Notamacropus eugenii: one gene and its partners. The protein of the gene in region 1 purifies or fractionates together with the protein of each later gene. This does not show direct contact. Links are inferred from orthologs where the notes say so. Each region holds a gene or a part of one and is shown in the gene's direction. Other genes may lie near its edges.

Evidence for each region. Proteins that work in one complex are often made in the same cells at the same time.
Region 2: the proteins of PPP2CB (region 1) and PPP2R5C purify together in Homo sapiens (affinity purification with mass spectrometry; 3 studies listed by BioGRID and IntAct, counting the BioPlex papers as one, with this or other methods). This does not show direct contact. The link is inferred for Notamacropus eugenii from reciprocal best matches to the Homo sapiens genes PPP2CB and PPP2R5C.
Region 3: the proteins of PPP2CB (region 1) and PPP2R3B purify together in Homo sapiens (affinity purification with mass spectrometry; 3 studies listed by BioGRID and IntAct, counting the BioPlex papers as one, with this or other methods). This does not show direct contact. The link is inferred for Notamacropus eugenii from reciprocal best matches to the Homo sapiens genes PPP2CB and PPP2R3B.

Annotation. Positions count from the first base shown.
Region 1 is NC_092878.1:167,231,350-167,238,866, forward strand, and holds the start of PPP2CB (serine/threonine-protein phosphatase 2A catalytic subunit beta isoform), read left to right. Parts: upstream 1-4,512; 5' UTR 4,513-4,597; coding exon 4,598-4,699; intron 4,700-7,517.
Region 2 is NC_092872.1:352,312,282-352,319,650, reverse strand, and holds the start of PPP2R5C (serine/threonine-protein phosphatase 2A 56 kDa regulatory subunit gamma isoform), read left to right. Parts: upstream 1-4,354; 5' UTR 4,355-4,671; coding exon 4,672-4,698; intron 4,699-5,976; coding exon 5,977-6,042; intron 6,043-7,369.
Region 3 is NC_092876.1:398,822,247-398,830,028, forward strand, and holds the start of PPP2R3B (serine/threonine-protein phosphatase 2A regulatory subunit B'' subunit beta), read left to right. Parts: upstream 1-4,767; 5' UTR 4,768-5,334; coding exon 5,335-5,676; intron 5,677-7,782. UniProt on the Homo sapiens protein: The B regulatory subunit might modulate substrate selectivity and catalytic activity, and might also direct the localization of the catalytic enzyme to a particular subcellular compartment.

The DNA of each region.
Region 1 (7,517 bases):
AAAGGCAGTAGACCAGACCTTTATTAATGCCTCCCACATGCCAGGCATTGGGAGACCAAGACAGCATGGACAGCCCTGGCCTCTGCTGGAGGGATAGATGGCCTATAGACCCAAGTAAATCAAGGTAACTTTCAGTTTGGAAAGAGTAGCAGCCAGAGGCTCTTTCCCGCCCAAATCTACCCATTTTCTGAACTTTACTGCTTCCTGCAACAGCCCAGGCTCATAGCTTCGAATCAGCCTTGACTCCTCACTCCTTCACCCCACAGCTGAGTCACCACCTGCGTTTGGATGTCCCTCATATTTAGGATTTTACTTCCTCATCTTTCCCTCAACGACTAACTCTTCTTTAAAATGCAGCTCCAGTGTGATCTGTATGAAGCTTTTCTAAATAAAGACCTGCGAATGCCAGGGCCCTCCCTCCCTAGTGCATCACATTTAACCACCTTTATTTGTTAAATAATAATAAGATTTATGTATTACTTGCAAAGAGCTGAACATTCATGACCTCATTTGATCCTCTGTGCAAACAAAGTGGCTTCCAGGGTCACGTGGGTAATATGTATCAGAGGCTAGATTGGAACTTGGGGCTTCCTAGCTTTGAAGACAGCTTTCTGTCCCCTGTACTCTGCTGCCTCTATACCTCCACCATAGGTTGTGAATAAGTCATTTTGGAGCATTATGCAGATTTGGTCATGGATGAAGGCAGCTCACTCCCTGCTTTGATTGGCCAAAAGAATCACACATACCTGTCAGCCTATGTATAAAAACAGTGGTCTTTCTATTGGGGGACCAAGCTAGCAGTGGTAGGCTCTAAGTTCAGGAACTAAGAATTCCATCTTGAGAGTTGGAGCTAAGTCCAACTGAAAGGGAATTGCTATTGGAAAGGGGGGAGGGGGCAAAGTTTCTCTCTTGTCTCTTCCAATTGACCATGTCATCAGAAAGATTGGACCAATAACATCAACTATCTCTAGCTGAGATTGAAGAGATGACCTGAAATCAGTAGGAAACAACACTTCCCAAAGAAGGAAGGACAGATGGATGTGGAAAGACCGAAGAGGCTGGCTGTGAACTTAAGAAAGGACTTTGGGGCCACAGAGCACAAGAAGGATGAATTAATTGTGACTACCCTTGTAGTCTAAGTTTGAGTCCATCCTTCTTATGGCCTTGTATGTATTTGTGGGAGAGGGTACCCCAGGTTTTTGGAGGTGGGGACTATATTTTGCCAGCCTTTCTTACTAAACTCTGAGTAAATACATTTTCTAAAAGCTAATTAAGTCTGTTGGCCAATTGTTAAAAGGAAGCACCCCACCAGGGGCTCGTGAGTGGCACTGTTAGAAGGATAGCCCCTTGGGGTTACTCTTAGATCCTTAAGAGAAGTAGTGGCCAGTCTCATGCCTTCTAATCCGTTTAATTCATTTCAACTCAAATATTTTTTGAAGCACCTACTGTGTGTCAGTTTGACAAGAAATCCTCATGGACAGCATTGGTGTACTAGGGTCCTCGGAGTGAGGAAGAATCCAACACGACTGAACAACAACAGTGTGTCAGGAGTTGTCCCAGACTAGAGATTTGAAGATAAAAATGCAATGGTCTCTGCCATAAAGAAACTTACATTCTACAGGGGAAAGCTTAGACAGTACACAGGTAAGATTAGATAGATATGTACACCTATGTGTGTATATGCACATATGTACAATGAAAAGTAACATTGGGGTGAGAGCACTGGCATCTCTTCCCAGAAGTACAAGGAAGGACTCCTATGGGAGGTAGCCCCTGAGATGAGCTTTGAAATTGACTCAGAATTGTGGGAAGTGTCAGATTTCTTGATGTGCATAGAACGTCTTGTGCAAAGATATGGAGGGAAGGCATTGGTTGGCGTGTAGGGGAAACAGCAAGCAACACGATTTGGCTTGAGCAGAGTTCGTATGGGGGAATAATGGGTGATCAGTCTAGAAAGAAAGCCTAGGCAGTTTTCAGAAAAAAAAATCCAAGCTATTTATAGCCATGTGAAAGAAGGCTCTAAATCATGAATAACTGGAGAAATATAAATTAAAACAACTCTAAGGTTCTACCTCTTACCTTCCAGACTGACAAAGTAACAAATAAAGGAAAATAAATGCTGGAGGGGCTGTGAGAAAACAGGTACATTGATGCATGTTGGAGCTGTGACATGAGCAAGTCATTTTGGAAAACCATTTGGAATTATGGCCCCAAAGCTACTAAACTGTGCCTGCTGCCCTCTGTAAACCCAGAAAGACATCAAGGAAAGAGGAAAAGGACCCCTAGGTACTAACAGTTTGTATATAGCACCTCTTCTTGCGATGGCAAAGAAGTGAATATCTATCTGTTGGGGAACAGCAGACAAGTTATGCTGTATAAATATAATGGAATGCCTCTTTACCTAAGAAGTTATGAAGACAGTTCCAGACACATGGGAAGTCCTTTGGTCTTAAATGAACCGATGCATAGGGAAATCCGTAGAACCAGGAGAAAAATGCAGACAATGACATCAAACCACTTGGAAAACCTCAGATGAACCCAAGGACCAACCATCACTGCAAAGGCTCATGGGTGGCACCTTGGATCTGCTCTAGCTCCCCTATCTCTTCCTTCTTTGTGGTCAGCAGGGACTGGAGGGAGGGGCTGGCAGGGTCGGGGACTGCGGAGGCTGGGTCACAGGGACCCCTTGAAGGTCTTTGGGCAATGCTTCCTCCAGTCTCCTGGAGGGTTCTTGGGCTAGGACTATCTAGCCGCTGCTTCTCAAATCCTTCTGACCTAGGGACATGATAAGTCGAAATGAAAGCCACTTCCCGGAGAAGTAGTCCATGGCTGGACTTCCGTAACCAAGTCTGCTTACGCAGAAGACCTCGGGAGAGCTGGGTAGTGACCGTTTATCGAAGCAAAAGTCAGTCTAGGGACTCTAGATGCTGCCTTTTCTCTCAGTTGGTAAGACTTAGAGGCAGCTAGATCTTGGAGTCAGGAAAAGTCGGTTTAAATATAGCCTAGAAAAAACCCACTTAATCTTCCTGCCTCAGTTTCCTCATCTGTAAAATGAGGCTGACAGCGCCTGCCTCCAGGGTGACAGAGGCTGCTTAGTATCATCTGCAGACCTCACAGCGTGATACAAAGTTACAATGCGCTGTTACTTTTTAAACAGCTCCCCGACAGCTCCCAGGGCGTCCGTGTGCCCACGCGAGCCTGGTCTCGCCCCTACTGCGCCCCCGGAGAGCTGCCTTGTGGGCGCTTCACCGTGACGCCGGCTCCAATCCTGCAGCGAGGGCAGAAACCCTCGGCGTGTTAAACGTCTACACGCGCTCTGGGTCGGAGGAGCCGCTCTCGGGCGGGATGTGCCGCCGCGTGTTTCCTCCCACGGACCCACGGACCAGACGCGCCTCTCCGCTCCCGAGACCTAGCGGAAGCGCCAGGCTGCGAGAACGGGCACACGAACGCCAGCTTTCCGTGCCCATCTCTACAGCAAACCGAACAAAGCGGAGGGCTCGGACACGGAGTCCGCGCCCTGCCTCCGGAGCCTTCGCCTTTCCGCTTCTCTGTCCAAGGCCGGGCCCCAAGCCGGGGCATCGGGAGAAGCGCAGTCCGGGGCAGGGGGGCGTGGCACCCGGGCCGACCTCCCGGAGCATCTGCGGCTACCTCGGACAGCTCCGGAGAGCGCCCCTGGCGGCAGGCGGCAGTGACCGCGGCTATTGGGGGAGAGACAGAGCGGGGGGCGGGCCCGGAGAACCCGAACCACGCCGATCGGCCCGCCCCTCCTGCGCAGGCCCAGACCCGAGGAGCGGGGTCCCGCGCTCGGAGCGGGACGCGCAGGGTGGGAGAGGGCCTTGGAGTGACTGACGTCAAGGGGCGGCGCCGCGGCGCAAGTCACGCAGTGACGCAGGGGGTCAGCGCCGCGCCGCGCCGTCACCGCCTCCTCCCGCTCCTCCTCCTCCTCCTCCCGGCCGCGTGGTGGTGCTGTGGCCAGCGGTACCGGCTCGTGCTCCCTCCGCCTGCCTTCCCCCTCCCGCCGCTCGCGTGCGGCCCCCTCCCTCGTCTCCTTCCGGCGGAAGTGCCCCGCGGTGACGGGCCCCGACGGGCAGGGAGCGTGAGGAGGGCTGCGGGAGAGGGCGGAGTCGGCCCGGGCGGGCCGTAGGGAGGCAGGCAGGCAGGCAGGCAGGCGGGCCGGTCAGTGGCGCCCCGCCTCCAGCTCGGCCCCGCCCCCAGCTCGGCCCCGCCCCCAGCTCGGCCCCGCCCGTGGGCCCTGGGAGCGGCTGTGCGCGCCGCGGAGGGGGCGGGGCGGCGCGCGCGCGCAGGAGGGGTTGGTGGCCGGCGGGCACGCCCCCGCGCCTCCGTGCGCGGCCCCGTCGCCGCGTCTCTCGCCCGGGCACGCCTGCGCGCCCGCGCCGTCCCGGCTCGCGCCCCCCCTAAGGGCGGGGCGGGGGCGGGGCTCGCGTGGCGTGGCGGGGCTCGACGGCGGGCGGGACCGGCGCCGGGGCGGGGCGGGGGCGGGGCCAGGGCCCGGGCCCGGCGGGGTCCAGCACGAGCCCCCTTGGCCGCCGCCGCCGCAGCCGCCGCCGCCGCTGCCGCCGCCGCCGCTGCCGCCATCATGGAGGACAAGGTGTTCACGAAGGAGCTGGACCAGTGGGTGGAGCAGCTGAACGAGTGCAAGCAGCTGAACGAGAACCAAGTGCGCACGCTCTGTGAGAAGGTGCGGCCGGGCGGGGGAGGGGCGGCCCGAACGAGGAGGGGGAGGGGGAGGGGCGGCCCGGAGGCGGAGGGGGAGGGGCGGCCCGGAGGAGGAGGGGGAGGGGGAGGGGCGGCCCGGAGGAGGAGGGGGAGGGGGAGGGGCGGCCCGGAGGGGAAGGGGGAGGGGGAGGGGCGGCCGGAGGGGGAGGGGGAGGGGGAGGGGAGGCCCGGAGGGGAAGGGGGAGGGGCGGCCCGGAGGAGGAGGGGGAGGGGGAGGGGCGGCCCGGAGGAGGAGGGGGAGGGGGAGGGGCGGCCCGGAGGAGGAGGGGGAGGGGGAGGGGCGGCCCGGAGGGGGAGGGGGAGGGGGAGGGGAGGCCCGGAGGGGGAGGGGGAGGGGGAGGGGAGGCCGGGAGAGGGGGGAGGGGCGGCCCGGAGGAGGAGGGGGAGGGGGAGGGGGAGGGGCGGCCCGGAGGGGGAGGGGGAGGGGGAGGGGAGGCCGGGAGAGGGGGGAGGGGGAGGGGCCGCCCGAAGGAGGAGGGGGAGGGGGAGGGGCGGGGCGGCGCCGTTCTCTCGGGGCCTTCTCTCCCCCCTCCCCGTGTGGGGATGCCCTCCTTGGCGTTGCTTGGCCCCAGCGAGTTGTTTATGTGCGGTCTCCGTCCACGTCACGGCAGCCTTCCCGGATCCCCGCAGCGTCCCTCTGCCTCGCAGAGTGGCTCCTGGCCCGGACCGCTCTGGCTTCTCGGCGGTGTCCAGTGTGACCCCCAAACCGGCCTCCCCGCCCCCTCCGGGTCAGTTGTGGACCCTCGGTGCCCGCCGTCTCCCCCAGACTGGCCACTGGGGCCTCAGTGTTTGCTGAGTGAATGAGTGATCTCGCGGAGCCGCTGGAGGTTTGGAGCAGCCTGGGCACGGGTCCGAGAGCTGCTTGAGGAAGGGTCCCCTGCGCCCGGATGAGCGCCGGGGTCTGTGGGGAGGAGGCCTGTGACCTAGAGTGCCCGGAGCCCAGGTGAGGGCGGGGCGGCTTTGGGGCGAGGAGTGCGTGTGCTGTCAGCCCCGTGCGTGGCCTGGCCTGGTCTTAGGTCTTAGCCCCGTGCGTGGCCTGGTCTTAGGTCTCAGATCCGTGGGTGGCCTGGCCTGGTCTTAGGTCTCAGACCCGTGGGTGGCCTGGCCTGGTCTTAGGTCTCAGACCCGTGCGTGGCCTGGCCTGGTCTTAGGTCTCAGACCCGTGGGTGGCCTGGCCTGGTCTTAGGTCTCAGACCCGTGCGTGGCCTGGCCTGGTCTTAGGTCTCAGACCCGTGGGTGGCCTGGCCTGGTCTTAGGTCTCAGACCCGTGCATGGCCTGGCCTGGTCTCAGACCCATGGGTGGCCTGGCCTTAGGTCTCAGACCCATGCGTGGCCTGGTCTCAGACCCATGGGTGGCCTGGTCTCAGACCCGTGGGTGGCCTGGTCTTAGGTCTCAGACCCGTGCATGGCCTGGTCTGGTCTTAGGTCTCAGACCCGTGCGTGGCCTGGTCTCAGACCCGTGCGTGGCCTGGCCTGGTCTTAGGTCTCAGACCCGTGCATGGCCTGGCCTGGTCTCAGACCCGTGCGTGGCCTGGTCTTAGGTCTCAGACCCGTGCGTGGCCTGGCCTGGTCTCAGACCCGTGCGTGGCCTGGCCTGGTCTCAGACCCGTGCGTGGCCTGGTCTTAGGTCTCAGACCCATGGGTGGCCTGGCCTGGTCTTAGGTCTCAGACCCGTGCGTGGCCTGGTCTTAGGTCTCAGACCCATGGGTGGCCTGGCCTGGTCTTAGGTCTCAGACCCGTGCGTGGCCTGGCCTGGTCTCAGACCCGTGCGTGGCCTGGCCTTAGGTCTCAGACCCATGGGTGGCCTGGTCTCAGACCCGTGGGTCACCTGGCCAGTGGCACTCCCAGGCACCGAAGGAACGGAAGGTCTGGGTTCCCGTCTGGGCTGGTGGTGACTCAGGGACCTTTCCTGGGTCCGGAGTCAGTGAGGAGCACCCCCTGGCTCAGTCCGACCTCCCCTCCCTGCCCCCTCCACGCCGCTTCTTCACGTTTTCCCCTTTCAGTTCCATGTCAGTAGTGTCAGCCTAGCCTGTGAGCCATGCTGAGGGCTCCCTGTAGCCTGACTGGTACTGAGGCCTGAGGCTGACTCCGGCTTTGTGTGCTGTCCTTCACGTCAGTGAGGTTCAATGTTGGGAGGGGTTTTTAACCAGTTCTCTTACCCTTAAACGTACATGGTCAGCTGAGACAAGCAGCTCTGAGACCTTTCTCCCACTGCTGATGGATGCTGGGGTGGCCGTCAGTGGACAGAATGTTTGTTGAACTTTTTAGGCAGATTGTGTGACTTTGGCTTCTCTAATAACCCTCTAATCCTCTTCCTTGATGCCAGCCGCAAGCGGGCTCTGTCTTATACCAGGAACAGTGCAGCCACCCAGAGGAGGATAATCCAAGAAGCTCTCCGCTCCCGTGGCTTGCCTGGGACTGTGCCAGTAGTGGCAGCAATACTAGCTCTCAGGAGGGTGCCAGAATGAAAGTCAGTCTGTCCTTCAGGCCAGCACTGGCAGCAGTGAGGCTACCCTGAGCAGGGGTGTAGCCAGGTAGCCCTGATTTGGCCTGGATTGTTTAGGATGATGACCTGTGGGTGTACCTAGAGGTGGCCTGTCCATCGTAGGATCTTCATTCTCCCTGTCACTAGCCATTACTACCTTGGGATGGACGTCTTGGACAGAGTGGTCTGACATCTCTAATTTAACAGAATTGATATTCCTTTGAGACCTGCTTGCTCTGAACTTCTAGTTCGTTTCCACAGACTTTCTTCAGCTGGGACAGGGCCAGACATCATC
Region 2 (7,369 bases), on another chromosome or scaffold:
CTAGCTCTCTCTGCAGCATCCTCTAGAGACTATGAGCTTCACTATTCACTTGTCACTATTACCCTATGACTTCTCTTATCTTCTATCCCTATATTAATCAGTCATTTACAAAACTGTCCCCAGCTCCCTCCTCCCTTTCTCTCAATCCTAACCCTACTGAATCACCTACTCCAACCCTGCTTCCTCTTATTGTCTTCTGGAATTCCTATTCCATTGTGAACTCACTCTCTTTCATGCTGGGCGGGTCTCATATTACTTTTATTAGCCATCACTGATAGTCTCCTCTGATGACACTGTCTATCCTCTTCATCATTGGCTGTTCCTTCTCTCATACCCTTCTTCCTCTTCCTCTTCACTCAATACTGGTCCTGGAAGGGAAGTCAAAATACCCCTTGATCTCCACTGTTACTTTCAGGCTGTTTACCTATCAACTTTTCCTTCTTTGAAGCCCACTTAAATTTTCCACCCAATTAAAATTATAACTGTAATACACTAATCCCTAAATTATTCTCATGCTTTTCCCAAGAAGTTCAGCATCTTCTTCTTCCAACTCCTGCCCTTTTACTTGTATCTTCATAGGTGCTCTCTCTAACTTCCTAAATTTCCAATTCTTCAGTATTCTTAAATCACAAGACCTACTCCTTCACTCTACCTCAGCCACACAAAGGGATAGTGACATCACACACTATATAGCTCACCACTGAACCATAAGTGTTACACTTCCCTAATTAGAAATTCTGGCATTCCCCTAACCATAACCTAGTATTACATATCTCTCTATGCCTCACTTCTCCTAAATCTTTTCTCTACCCTGAAGACATTCAATCCTTCCACTTCTCAATACCTTCTCAGGTACCCCTATTCTGACTTCACTTTCTTCCCTCTCCAACCTCAAATCTATAGTTAGCCATTTCAACTCTGGTTTTGAGTCCCTTGCCTCATTCACAATCTTCTCTTGCTAAACCTCAGTCTGAGATTATGTCCACTATCCATTTCCTTCACTCCTACTCACATGCCACTGAACAAAACTGTAGGAAGGACTGAGTATATTACAAAGTCAGTGTTATCCAGCCTCAACTAGACCCCTCACTATAGCAAGGAAGTCCTTTTATTCCTCCCTGATTCTTTTATTTCACTTCCCACAGAAACTATTCCAAACCTTCTCTTCCCTCAACCCCTCCCCGCCCAAAACATCCCTCCTTCTTAGGTGATGACTTTGCCTCTTTACTAAAAAAAACTGAAGCCATATGATGTGAGCTTGCTTATCATTTCATCTCAAAACATAACCACAACACTGTCTTCCTTTCCCCTAGTCTCTAACAAAAGAGATGGCCCTTGTCCTTGTCAAGGACAAGCTCTCCATATGTGCTTTTGATCCTATTCTTGTTTTCTCCAACAAAATGCATCCTTATTTATCCCCACCTCTCAAATCATCAATCTCTCTCTATAAATCTCCTCCTCCCCTAGAATCTTAAAACATGCCCTCTTCCCTTCCTTAAAAAAACCTGTTAGGTCCCACCATACCTTTAAGTCTTTGTCTTTTTATCTCTTCTAAGTCAAACTCCTGGAAAAAATGGTCTATATTAACCGTCTTCACTTCCCCTCTCTCATTCTTCAATCCTTTGCAATTTAGTTTCTTACCTTAATACTCAACTGAAACTGCTTTCTCCAAAGTTACCAAAATGATCTCTTGACAAATCAGATGCTTCCCAGTTCTTGTCCTTCTTAAACTATCCATTGCATGACACTATAGACAACTTGATCCTCCTGTTTTCATGACATGTCTCCTGATTTTTGTCTTCAACGATTCCCTCTTAATTATTCATTTCACATCCCCTAACTATAGGTGCTCAAGAGTGTATCCTAGGCTCTCATCTATTCCATTGTGAATTCACTCCCTTTCACGCTGGACCTGTCTCTTATTACTTTTATTGGCTATCAGTTCACATTGGCTTAACTATCACCACTATGCAGATGACTTACATATCTATATATCAGGCCCCAGCCTCTCTCAAACTTCAGTCTCCTAACACTATTGGATATTTCAAAATGGCCATATCAAGACATCTTAAAACTTAACATGTCCGAATCTGAACTCATTCCCTCTCCTTCCTTCCAAATCTCCGTTTCTGTTGACACCACCATTCTTCCAGGTTCATAACTTTTAAACACAGCTCAGACACTATCTTCTTTATGAAGCCTTTCTTTATGCCAACTGCTTCTGCCTTCCCTTCCAAACTATCCTGTATTTAACTGTATATATTTATGCTGTAAATTTTTACATGTACTATTCCCCTCTCCTCATTAAAAGGAAAATTCCTTATAAGTACATGCTTCATTCTTTGTACTTTTATTCCCAGGGTCTAGCACAGTGCTTGGCACAAGGAAGTTGCTTAACATTTAATTCACTGTTATTAGGCATTTTTATGTTAGTTATGAAGTTTTAAGAAATTAACAGTAACTAAAATAATAATCATTTTATTATCACTATATAACAATATAATAACAATAACTAAAATAACAATAACAAAAATGAGTATTTTTCTTTTGTTTTCAACATTTATGGAACCATTATAAAGGCTAAAGGAGAATGGCATCAGGTTTTTATGCAAATTTTATGACTAAGCAGCCTATTTACCTGTAATCTAGATGTTCATCTAAATGTTTTTGTACATTCAGGCCCCTGCAGGCAAGAACTTATTTTTTGAACTCCTAACAATATTTCCTTTAAATTTCGAGTTTTCTGGCTTTTAAACTTCCCATCACAGAGCAGCACATGCTATTTTGCAACTCTCATTGGAAACGTAGGATGATACAACTCAACACGTCTAAGCACCGCCTAAAATTGGACTACTGGTTTCTGAATTATTACACAGATATTTGGTGAGATTCCTTGTTTTTACACAAACTCCAGCAAAGGATGATTTGGATGGTTTTATTACCTAATGCATGTTTTCAGCTTCTAAACATTTGGATGACCCGTAGTTTTGAGCAGTCAACTACTTCTGGACAGTGGCCAAATTGAACATGGGCCCCCAACTTTCCATCTGCTTAAATGTTTTTAATTCTTCCATGTTTTCTTTGGAAAATTCACACCTTTTTTCTCTTATAGATAAGGGGGTGGAAAAATCAGATGACTCCCGATCATCATGCAGTAGTTTTTCTCACATGATGTATTAGCCAAGGGGGAACTCCCTCCCCCCCAACATTCTTTAAAGTCATCAGCTGCTCCATCTAGCCAACTGGTTGTCTGAACCACTTAGTTCCACTACCCCACCCCCCAGCCCCACTCCCCGATCACCCGGCTACAAACAGGGGCAGACAGATCCCCCTGAGATGCCTGTCATCCCCTCTGCAGGTGCTGCGGACTCTGACCCACGGGCTTCCAACTTGGCAGGAAGAGGCTTCGGGTTCAAAGCCTCAAGAGCATCAGCTCCACCCAAGCAAGATAAGCGAGACGGAGGCCTGCGTCAGGAAGCATGGGGTGGGGGGCGGTACAGCCAGGGGGAAACCAACACTTCGGGCTCTTCTCCTGTTACCTTAGCCCCGGAAAGGAGGGAGGGGGGTGTTTGCAGATAACATCTTCTGACACCTCCGAGACTTACTGGGTTTTCACCCTCGGAACTTAGACTGCGAGGGAGTCGCAAGTGACAAGAAAACACCCCGTTTCCCGGCAGGGCGAGGGCGGGGTGGGGACAAGGGTGTCCCCGCTTCTCCCTCGTTAGCGAGGGCGGCTCCGCGCCCCTGTGTTGGACGGTCTGCGTCTTCACACGTAGCTTCCAGCCGCCCCCCTTAGCCTCTCCCGGGCTCCGCCGCCCTTAACGGCGGCTAACGTTCCCAGTTACCGCGGGCTGCTCCCCTCCCTCTGCACACCCCGGCCCGGCCCATGGCAGCCGGCAGCCGGCCTCGGGCCACCCAGCTCCTTGGGTCGGCCAGCGGCCCGACTCCGGGTGTCCCTCGCCCCGGCCCCTCACGCCTTGTTCCTCCTTCCTCGCACTCCCCAAAGAAGCAGCACCCGGGGACTCCGGCGTCCCCGGCCTGAAAGCAAAGCAGCAAGCTCGCGAAGGCAAGTCGGCGACCGACCCTCGAAAGCGCGAGAGTGAAGGAAAGCCGAGCCCCGGAGGACCAGACGAGGGACGAACGTTAGCGGGCACGTGACCGGGGGAGGAGACGGAAGCTCAACCAATGACAAAGCGCCGTGCCTGGCAGTGGGACGGTGCAGGGGCCTAAGTGGGGCGGGGTCCGGAACCCGGGCAAAGCGGAACGGGGCGGGGAAAGAGAATGGGGGCGGGGTTACGAGAGGGGGAGAGGAAGGGGGAGGGGGGCGGTCAGGGCTGGGGGGGAGGGGCGAAGAGACGCCGCCGCCGCCGCCGCGGCTGCTGCAGCCTCTGGGAGCCTGGAAAAGGGGAAGCGAGGGCGAGGGAGGGACTCAGTCCCCGGCAAGGCGGCGGCGGGGGTGGCGGCTGAGAAGGCGGCGGGAGGGCAGAGGGAGGCAGCGTCAGGGGCGCTGCTGCTGCTGCTCCTGCCGGTGCTGCTGCTGGAGGCGGCGGTGGCGGTGGAGGAGGAGGAGGAGGAGGAGGAGGAGGAGGAGGAGGAGGCGGCGGCGGCGGCGGCGGCGGCGGCGGCGGCGGCGCAGGAGGAGGCGGCAGGGGCGGGCGGCCCGCACCAGCCATGCCGAATAAAAACAAGAAGGAGAAAGTGAGTCCGGGGCCCCGGCCCGCCCGCCGAGCCAGCCGAGGGGACGGGGACTGGGGGCCGGGCCTGGAGGCGGGAGGGGAGAAAACGAAACTGCCCCTTTGGGGACGGGGCCTAGTGTGGGGGCCCGGGCGCCGCCCCCCTGAGACGAGAACTCGCCGACAACTTCTGCTCCTGGCTGGGGGCCCGCCTGCGCCGCCCCCGCTGGCCGGGACCCCAGCCCCGAGCAGTGACAACTGATGCTTCGGAGTTAGTCACCCAGGAAGCAAAGCAGGCGCGGAAGCGCCCGGGGTGCCCAGGCCTTGGACGGGGCAGCGGGAGCCCTCCCTGCCGGCGGCCTAACCCTAGGTCCACCCTCTGCTCCACACCCCCCCCCCCCCCCCCTCACCCCCAGGAGTTGGTAAACCTCCAGCAAGTAGGAGAAGGGGCACCTTTCCCCACCCGCCCACGCCCGGGCGGCTGGTGGCGCCCACCCCTCGCCCCTCCGCCCCCCTCCAGGCCCCTGGGGATCCGTGACAGCAGCCCGAGATTGTCCTGGGAGGCAAGGCGGGCGGGATGCCCTGGGAAACGGCATCTGGCGTCCACAGTCGGTGCCTCCCCCGCCCCAGAACCTCTTTCCCGCGGCAGCAGCAGCGACGGGGGTGGTGGGGGGCGATACCGGTTGCAGCGATGCTTTGGAGAAGAGGGTGAAGCAACAGCCGCAGCCGTCGGGGGCCTGGGACTGGGGGTGTCTTGCGAACTCTGGGGAGAGGCTTTGGGAAATCACCCCTGGACACCAAACTTCTCTGCTCACCGTAGTTGTCTAGGGGATTCCTCCTGATCGGGAGGAATTCTGTGTCCCTTCCCAAAGAGACTTTCTAGTGCCATAAAATAGTATTATTATCCTGCATTGTGATGATGTGGATGTGTGATAATATGTATTTCTGCTGCGTTGGCTTTTTTTGTTTTGGTTTCAGGTGGCGCTGTATAGCATTTTAGTGTCACCTTAGAAACCACCATCATAGGAGTTTAGGAAAAGGGAAAAGGAAGGGAGCTTTTTTTTTTAAACACATACAACACCATAAATAATTGCATATATCTGTTTGTTTTGTAGCCTTGGTAACAAAAACTAAAAAGTAAATAAATGTCTTGTCTGTTACATCTCTAAAAAGCAATATATTTTAGAACTTTCTAACAATATTAAAATGAGATGTAATTGCATAGGTTCTTAAGAGTTTTAAAACGTTTGAAGGTTTTGCAAACTCAAAAATATAAAACTTAATCTGCTTGATGTTTTCTCAGGAACCAGCAAAATCGGGAAAAAGTGGAAAAAGTACAAAAGAAGGACAAGATGCTGTAGAACAAGAGGTAATTATAATTAACTATTGTGTTTGGACTAGTCACATTTTTGGTTTTAGCAGTTAGAAAAATCAAGAGTGGTAGAACCCAGAATACTTGGCATTTTCCCCCATATGAAGGAACTTTTGGCTTCTGTCATCCCTTCCTCTTATTTATTTAGGAGATATGTGGAGAAATGGAAATTTGAAAATTCAGATTTGGAAAAATGAGGAATGGGGATGTTTAAAAGCAAAGCTCAACAACGTAGTTGTGTAATCCCAAAGGCCTCTTCTCCCTCTTCCTCCTAACAGACCTGATATTGTTTCTGTCAGTCAGGGAGGCATGTTTCTCTGACACATGTTCTACTTATTCCTTTTAGCTGCTGGTTCTTCTTTTCTACTGCTGGACCAGTTTCCTTCTAATCTGCCAGGAGGCTTTATCAACTGTTAATTCTTCACCCTCTCACTCCTCCTCCTACCACCCACCTCTCAATCTCTACACACTCTTCAGTTACATACTCAACTCCCCTTCCCCCGCCTTCAGCTGATTGGGAGTGTACCTGTGCTAAACCCTTCTTTCTTATCATGTTGGTTAATTGATTTCTTATCCTTTCCTATTTAGGCTGAGGCCTCCCCACCTCCATGAAAAAGTCTCTTGCTGTTTTTTAAAATAATTTTTAGCCTTTTGTTATGTTCTCCTATCAGTGTTCTATTTTAGTGTTAGTTCTCACTTTTTTGTCCCCTTGTGCATATTACTTTTGCTGATTCGTGACAGAGTAAATTCCAAATTGTACTTGTATTTGGCAACAGCCTATTTTTTAAGCCATGTTCCTTATTTACTGATGATGTCATCAACTGACAGTCTGGACAGTTGCTTTGAGTCATTTTAACTTGTGGATTTCCACAATCACTACTTTGTTTTGTCCATTGGGTCTCTGGACTGAGTGAAGATGACCTACTGATTGGACTTGGGAACCTAAATCATACTATCTAAAAGAGCAGCTAATAGGCACATTGAATTAGGCTCCTTATAAAAGAAACAGTCTAATTTAGTCTGCTGGTTCTGAGAGCTGACTCCATAACGTACTTAGTCTGATCACTTTGACATTTATTTCCATTCCCATAGAATTAATGAAATTCCACTTAGGAATTATACTTGTTTTTTTTGAAAGCCATGTAAGAAACTTTAATAGGTTCCATTGAAGCTAATTTTTTAGATATAAAACATCTTCTTAATTATATATGTATGTGTGTATTATATGTGTGTGTATACATACTTACATATGTGTGTGTATGTGTGTAGGTACTTAACTCATGGCAGATTTTAAATTTCCATTTTCTTTCCATTACCGCTCATC
Region 3 (7,782 bases), on another chromosome or scaffold:
AAAGATGATGTACATTACTCTGGTATTAGTGTATTATTCAGTTGATTATGAGGCCATAATGTTACCTGCAACATAAAATGAAGGGTCAGATTACAGTTGCTAGCATGTACAAAGTAACAAATATGCAAGGACGCCCAGGTTTAACAAGGACAGGATGTAACTGCAGGCAGGAAATGTCAATGCACAGGTATAAGACAGAAAGAGAATAAAAGTACTGAACACAATAATTTTTCAAGGATTGAATTAAAATTTATTAAGCACCTATTCCGTTCAAGGCAGTGTTCTAGGCTTAGGGATACAAAGAGAAACATGGAAATATTCCTACTTTCTAGGAGCTTACCTTCTATTCCTCCACTAACCTTCATAATAAAATAACTTTATGAATTCTATGAAAGATTCTTAAAAGGATTCCTTTCAATTAATGGTAATCTTCATAGTTTTGATTTCACTAGGGCTAGTCTCTTGAAAAGTTTTTCACAAAAATAAATTTGATGACATATATAATCAAGAAAAACTAAAACTGGTTTCCTATCTACCCCATATTTAAAAATATTTGACCCTGATTATCTCTCTCTCTTAAATTACTAAATCAGTAGGCTAAGCAGGTACTGAGTTACTAAACCAGCTCTGTATACAATTCCATAACCTAACACATTTACAGTTATAACCATTAATTTGAAAGCCATTAGCGTTAAATTCCATTTGGAGTGAACAGTGGGAAGAAGACTGGATTTGGAATTTGAATTGTGACTCTCCTAGTGTGACTTTGGGTAAGTCACTCCACCTATCTGGGATTAATTTTACTTCCCTACTGTAAAAAGAGAGGGGGGTTAGAAGACTTCTAAGTTGCACTCAAGTTAATGTAATAACTCACTGATACCCTGAACTGGCTTTTGTTGCTTTACAAAATGTTTCATTTAAGCATATTGCTCCCTCTCAATTTCATCTATAAAATAAAGGGTTTAGATTAGATGATCTCTTTGTAAGGTTCCTTCCAGCTCTGCTGTTCTGATGATTGATTGCTAGATGACCTGAAAGAGCAAACAAAATTATTTGGAAATAAAACTGAATAAAGTGATATAAGAAATTCAGGTATTAAGATATGCTTTCACTTTGTGATCTTATCGGCTCCCATCAATTCAATTATCTCTTACAGATTATTCTCAGATCTATATATCTTGCCTCCATCTCTCCCTGTTCAGCTCTAGTCTAAATCCAACTGCCTACTGAGCATTTGTTCTCAAACCCAGCATGTCTAAAACAGAATTCCTTATCTTTCCCTCAACCTTACCCCTCTTTCAATCTTCTCTATTATTATAAAGGGCACCATTCTCCCTGTCAATCAGGTTCACAACCTCAGTATCATCTTCCACTCCTTCTCCCTCATCAAGTATTCAGTGTATTATCAAATCTTTTAATTTCTTTCCCCCTACTAATATAGCCACCATACTAGAATGCCCCTCTTGCCTGGACCATGGCAATAGCATTGGTTCTACTTTCAGCTTCCTTTCTCTCCATGGATGCCAAAATGGTTTTCTTACAAGTTTGATCACCCTTTCAAAAAACTCCGATGGCACCCTCTTACCTCTAGGATCAAATATAAATTCCTAGTTGGCATTTATATCCCTAGATATTCCAGGCCCTTCCTATCTTCCCATTATCTTACATATCACTCCTTTCCATGCATTCTATAGTCCAAATGTACTGGTCTACTTGCTCCATCACTTGTCTCCATGTCTGACATCACATGTCTTTTCCCATGTCTGAAATGTTCTCTCTGCTTATCTCTTCCTCTTAGAATCCCTGGGTTTTCTTTAGGACTCAGCTGAAATACCTGAATCCACCTAATTATACTAACATCTAGCCCACATCCCTCCATTTTGTCCCAGAATTTGCCAGATGCCTTGTACAAATTTTGCTTCAGCCTCTATATTAGTAAAAAGCTTTTGCTGTTTCTGTTCATAATAAGCATCAGTATTCTAGACACCAATTCTCACAAGACTACCATCTTTGGATTTGTCATCCATTACTTGCCCTTAAGCAATAAGGAATATGAAGTGGTATGAAAACAGATGAGGACAAGGATCATTCATAACAAGCAACCATCAGGAAAAGCTTTAGTGCAGAACAGGACTTCAGCAGATATGTGGTGAATTTTAGCAAGGAATTCAAAACATAGGGAAAAGCAAAGAAGGGCATGGATTTGTGACAAGTTCTGGACGTGAGATCAAGAGTCAGTCTACAATTTATCAAGGGTTTTCTATGTGTCAGGTACTGTGCTAAGCACTGATTTTTTTTAAAAAAGGCAAAAATATGAATCCTATCCTCAAGAGGCTCATAATCTAATTGGGGAGACAACATGCCAATAATTGTGTGCAAGCAAGGTGTGTGTGTGTGTGTGTGTGTGTGTGTGTGTGTGTGTGTGTGTGTGTACTCACATACACATATACATATGTAGTAAATGCAAAGTAATCTCAGAGGGAAGAACTTGGGGAGAGGATGGAAGGGGTAAGAAGGCCACTAACAGTGGATGGGATGTGAGCTGAGTCTTGAAGAAGGCCAGGGAATCCAGGAAGGAGAAGAAAGGAGGGAGTGCTTAGCCAGTTTGGGGGAGAACCAGCGCTCAAGCAGCGGCAAGCACTAGAATAAGATTTACGAAGACTGGATAGATAGAAATAGCTTAGGTCATGGAGGGCTTTAAATACAACCAGAACATTTTTTTATTTCATCCTGTAGGCAACAGGCAGCCAACAGAGTTTATTGAGCAGGGGACATGATATAGTAAGATCTAAGTTTTAGGAAAATCACCTTGGTAACAGACTGGAGAGTGGTTTGGAATAAAGAGAAACCTGAGGCAAGGAGAGCAGCCAGAAGGCTATTACAATATACTAACAGTTAAGTTTGGAAAAGGGGAAGGTTTGAAGGGAAAGATGAGTTCTGTTTTTGGACAAACTAAGTTTGAAATGACTATGAGGTATCCAAAAGGCAGCTCGTAATGTGGAACTGGAGCCCAGGAGACAGACTGGGGTGTAAATGGAGATATGTGAAACATCTGCATACAGATGATAACCTAACCCAGGGAGTTAACGAGACTGTGAAGTGTGATTGTAGAGGGAGAAGAGGGCCCAGGGCACAGCCTTGGAAGACACCTATGATTACTGAGTGTGAGATAGAAGAAAACACAGTAGATTAGGAAAGAATGGTCACAGAACCAGGAAAGGGCAAAGAGTCGAAAGGATTCATGAGAAAATGACCAATAAGGTTAAATGCTACAGACAGGCCAAGATTGAAGGATTAAGACTGAAAAATGGTTATCAGACTTGGTAATTAAGAAACCATCGGTAACTCAGAAAAGCTGTTTCAGCTGAATGATGAGAATGCAAGCCAGACTACAGAGTGCTTTGAATAAAGTGAGAGAAGAAGAAGTGCTCCAACCCAGTGAAGATAGCTTTCTCAATAAGTTTATCTAAGAAGGGAAAGAGGAATACAGAATGGTAGGTAGCTAGGAGAGATGGCTGGATCAAGTGAGGATTTTTTTCTATAGGAAGGGGAAGACACAGGCTTGCTTCTAGGCAGCCAGGAAGGAGGCAGTTGATAAAAAAGACACTGAAGATTCGAGTAGAAGGGACCCTACAGATTATCTGAACCAATGTGGTAGCTTCAGGGTTGGAGGGTCTGGACTGAATTTTTCCTTTGGCCTCTTTTAATACCTGTGTGACCACAAACAGATCATTTCCTATGTCTGAGGCCCAATTTTCTCAGGTGTAAGATGAGAGAATTGGATTAGATGATAGTGAAGGTCTCTTTACTTCAAGAAACATTTTTTGAAATAAAATTTGATTTTTTCCAAACGATCTGCCTTTTTTTCTCTCTCACATTCTCCCATCCTCTTCTTCCCAAATTGGGAAAGCAAGAAAAACAATACTGCTTTGACAAGCATCTAACAATCAAAGCAAATTCCCAAATCCCCCATGTCCAAAAAAACCTCCACGTCTCTACCTCTGTGTCCATTGTCCATCACTGGAGAGGCTTGGGTGGAGGAGGCCCTGAGAGGGTTAAGAGAGGGTTGGCTGGAACAAATTCAAGTTTATTGGAAGGTCAACAGGAGCTGGTGAAGTTCTTTTTTGAGGAACTTGCATCTTAAGGGGGTGAATCCAGAGTTTATATAGGAAAGGGCATGGGGAAAGAATGCCAGGGGTGCTGATTAGGTAATCTAGAGGTCCAGGTGCCTTTGGGGCTACGGATGGAGAAGAATGGGGTGCTAGACCAGACACTGGGGGAATGATCAGAGACATGAGCCTTAGGGAACCACAACCATGCCAAGTAAAGGCTGGGCATGCGAAGGTAATATAGGAAAAATACTGTGACCTTCTCGAGATGAATAGGCTCATTTAAAAAATAAGAATCCATTCCGCAGCGGCTCTCACTCAGTAAACGGAGTTCAGGAAGCCATTCGCCTCTTGGATAAATTTAATTATTGAATTTCCTGGGAAGGAGTCTCTAGCGCAGCCCTTCCCAGTGTGCGCATGCCCAGACCGTCCCTCCCGCCCCGCTCCACCAGGAGAGAAATCCTTCGGCGGTTCCAGAACTCAAACAGGTCACGCTCCCTGGCTGAGAGGAGTCTCCAAAGCTACAAACATGCAGACCGTCCCTAAGGCCGCTCCACGGGATAACGTAACCGCTGCCCGCCGGCCTCGGCCTTTTATAGGGAAAGGGACGCTGCGTGATGACGTCACGGGCCGCGGCGTGCCGACGGCGGCAGCGTGAGACGGCCTGCGGCGGCCACAGCGTTCCGGAGCGGGGCTGGGGGCGCCCGTTTTGAAGCTGCCCTGGGCAGGCTTCCTGTTCGCTTCCGCTCTCTTCGGAGCCTCCTCCTCCTCCTCCCTCGACGGGCTCCTGAGGAAGCCAACCAGCCAATGCGCTCAGCCCCGCGCCCGGCTCCGTGGCCCCGCAGCTGCCCCCGAGGTGCTCGGACGCCGCTGCCTCCTCTGGAGGCCCCGGGGCCGCCCGTGCCCTCGTCTGCGCCCTCGTCCGCTCGGGCCGCGGTTCCGCCCCGCCCTCCTCCAGCGCCGGGCGTTTGACCTCGTGTTCCCCCCCCCCACTCGAAATCACCCCCCCCTCCAATGCCGGAGTCCTGGCGGTGTCTTTAAGCAGTCGAGGAAGGGCTGGGGGCCGCGGCCTGCAACAGCCCTCACTTTAGACAGCCCGGCCTCCGTCCTGGGCACCAGGAAAAGTGGGAGCGGGGGGCGGGGGTGGGGTGGGGAAGGAGGAGGAAGAGCGCCCCGGGGGCAGGAAGGACAGACCACCCCAAGAGCCGGTAACAGACACCCCAGAATGCCCGCTGGTAAAGTCCTGCAGCCAGTCCTAAAGATGAAAGTGGACGAGTTGTTCCTGTGCTGGCTGAGTGAGACCAACACGCAGGTGATGCTCAAGGACTGCCTGAAAAGGATCCGGAGCGCCGAGAGGATAGATCTCGGCGGCGGCCTGGCCGGGGACGCGCAGCCTTTCCTGGCCGCCAAGGTCGCCAGCTCCAAGCGGAACGTGCTAGATAACCTGATGGCGCCCTTGGGGACCCCGAGCCCTGGGGTGTCCAGCGCGCTGCCCCTGGGCGCCTCCGCTGGCCCCCGAAGCGGGCCGCACGGCCGAGGGACTCGTAGATCTACGGGGACCCGAGTAGTAAGTTGTCTTGTTAACCTTTCCTAATGACCACGTGCAGAGGGCCCCGTCCTCCCTTGGGCTTGATGTTCATGACTTTGAATTGCCATTGGTTGGAAGGTGGCTGGCGGGAAAGGGAAAGATGGAATGGAAATTGGCTTTTCCAACAGGATTCTAAATTTCTAAACTTCTTAATCCGAAGTTTTAATATATATATATATGAAATATATCCTCCATTTCTCAGATGAGGTGTTCATTATTTTCATGAGAATAACATGCTGGGTATGAACAGTTTGGCCAGAGGAAGGAGAGGCTTTCCTTGTCTTGATGGAAGGTTGAATATACAGTCACCATTTTTCTCTAGTGTTTTATTATTTTGTAAATATCATAGGGTGGTCTGCTGTTTTGTAATAGGTGTAGAAATAAATAATTTGTCATTTTCGAGTTATGTAAACTGTTTTTGAACTTTATCAGAACTACTATCAGAAAAAAAGAGGAAATCGTGGCATTGGAGAGTTGAAAGACATTTTAACTGTTCAAGAAAAAGTATGATTTTATAAGAAAGCACTGTTTCTACAGTATTTCTGAAGCTGCAAAATTAAGTTACAAACTGCAGCTGAGCATATATATTTCATTGTCGTAGAGTTTTATGTGAAACATTCTCCCTTCTGTATTTTCCAGCTTTCAAATCTAAGACTATAAGCTCTTTTTAAAGCTTATCTTCATGGACTTTCTAGAACTTTGGAAGAAGTTTACAAAGTACAGACGTTGTATAAGTGGTATAAGTAATGGAATTAGATATCAGATAAAAATGTCTGCTCAGCAGAAAAATGCCTGACAAGAAGGAAATGGATAGTTTTACCCTCCTTCAAAAGAAGTTGTTGTCAATCATTGGTAACCATTACACTCAGCATCTTTTCATGTAGTCATGCAGTCCAATCAGCATCCAGCTACACTGGAAATAATAATTTTGAAGGAGTATCAGAAAAAAAGAGGGAATCATGGAATTTGAGAGTTGAAAGGTTTTGTCTATCCCTTGTCCAGCCGTTTTATTTTACTGATAAGGAAACCAAGCTCCAAAGAATCAGTTACCTGCCTGAGAAAACACAACTGGGATGAGAGCCAGAAGTAGTTTCTTCAGTAGTGGCAGATTTTCTCTAAAGTAATAGATTGTGTTCTACCATTGAATTCTGATCCTCATGTGTCTCCACTTGCCTCAATGGTGTCAAGAATTTTGAAAACAAAATTTTTTTCTTTAATTTAAAAAGTAAACGTGCTTTATAGTACTTAAGTGCAGAAGGGAAAGCCATATCACATAGTGACAGTTTGTCTTAAAGTACTTGGAAATCATTGTTCTCTACTAATTATGACTCATATTTGTATAACACTTTAAGGTTTGCAAAGCACTTTTTTCCCAGTCACCCAGTATAATAACTAGTGCAAATATCCCTGTTTTACAGAGAACAGAAAACACAGAGAATTTAAGTAACTTGCCCAAAGTTACACAGTGAAGTGGCAGTCAGGGCTCAGACTTAAGTGTTATGACTTAAGGTTCAGTGTTGTTTTCGCTACACATTTCCGCCTGTGATAGAAGTGGTGTTTTAAATTCATCTGATAGTGGTTTGCAGGATGGAAGAAAGAGAAATGAACATTTAAAAACTTCTTTAGTTCAGGTGGGAGATAATTGATGACTAAACTAGTGGCTGCAGTGATGGAAAAAAAGGTAAGAAGTAGAGAAGTTATGGTATGTGAAGGGAAAATCAAAGAATGCTTCTTGAATTTTGAGTCTGGGTAACTGGGGAAATGATTACAAATAATAGGAACTAATTTTGGGGGGAGAACAAATCAGAAGATAATAGATCTAGAAAGAAGGAACATCAGAGACCATCTAGGTAAGTCCCACATTTTACAGAGTAGGAAACTGAGACCCAGGGAGGACAGGTCCTGCCAATGGTTGCATAAGTAGTATGGACTAGGTTTTAAATTGCTCCAGATTCTGTTCAGAGAGAGAGAGAGAGATGTAAAAACTTGAACTTCAAGAATATGGTAGTAAGAAATTATCGTCAGCAGACAATGTTTGTATTTTGTAAACTTCTTTCAGAGTTCTAGAAAGTCCATGAAGATAAG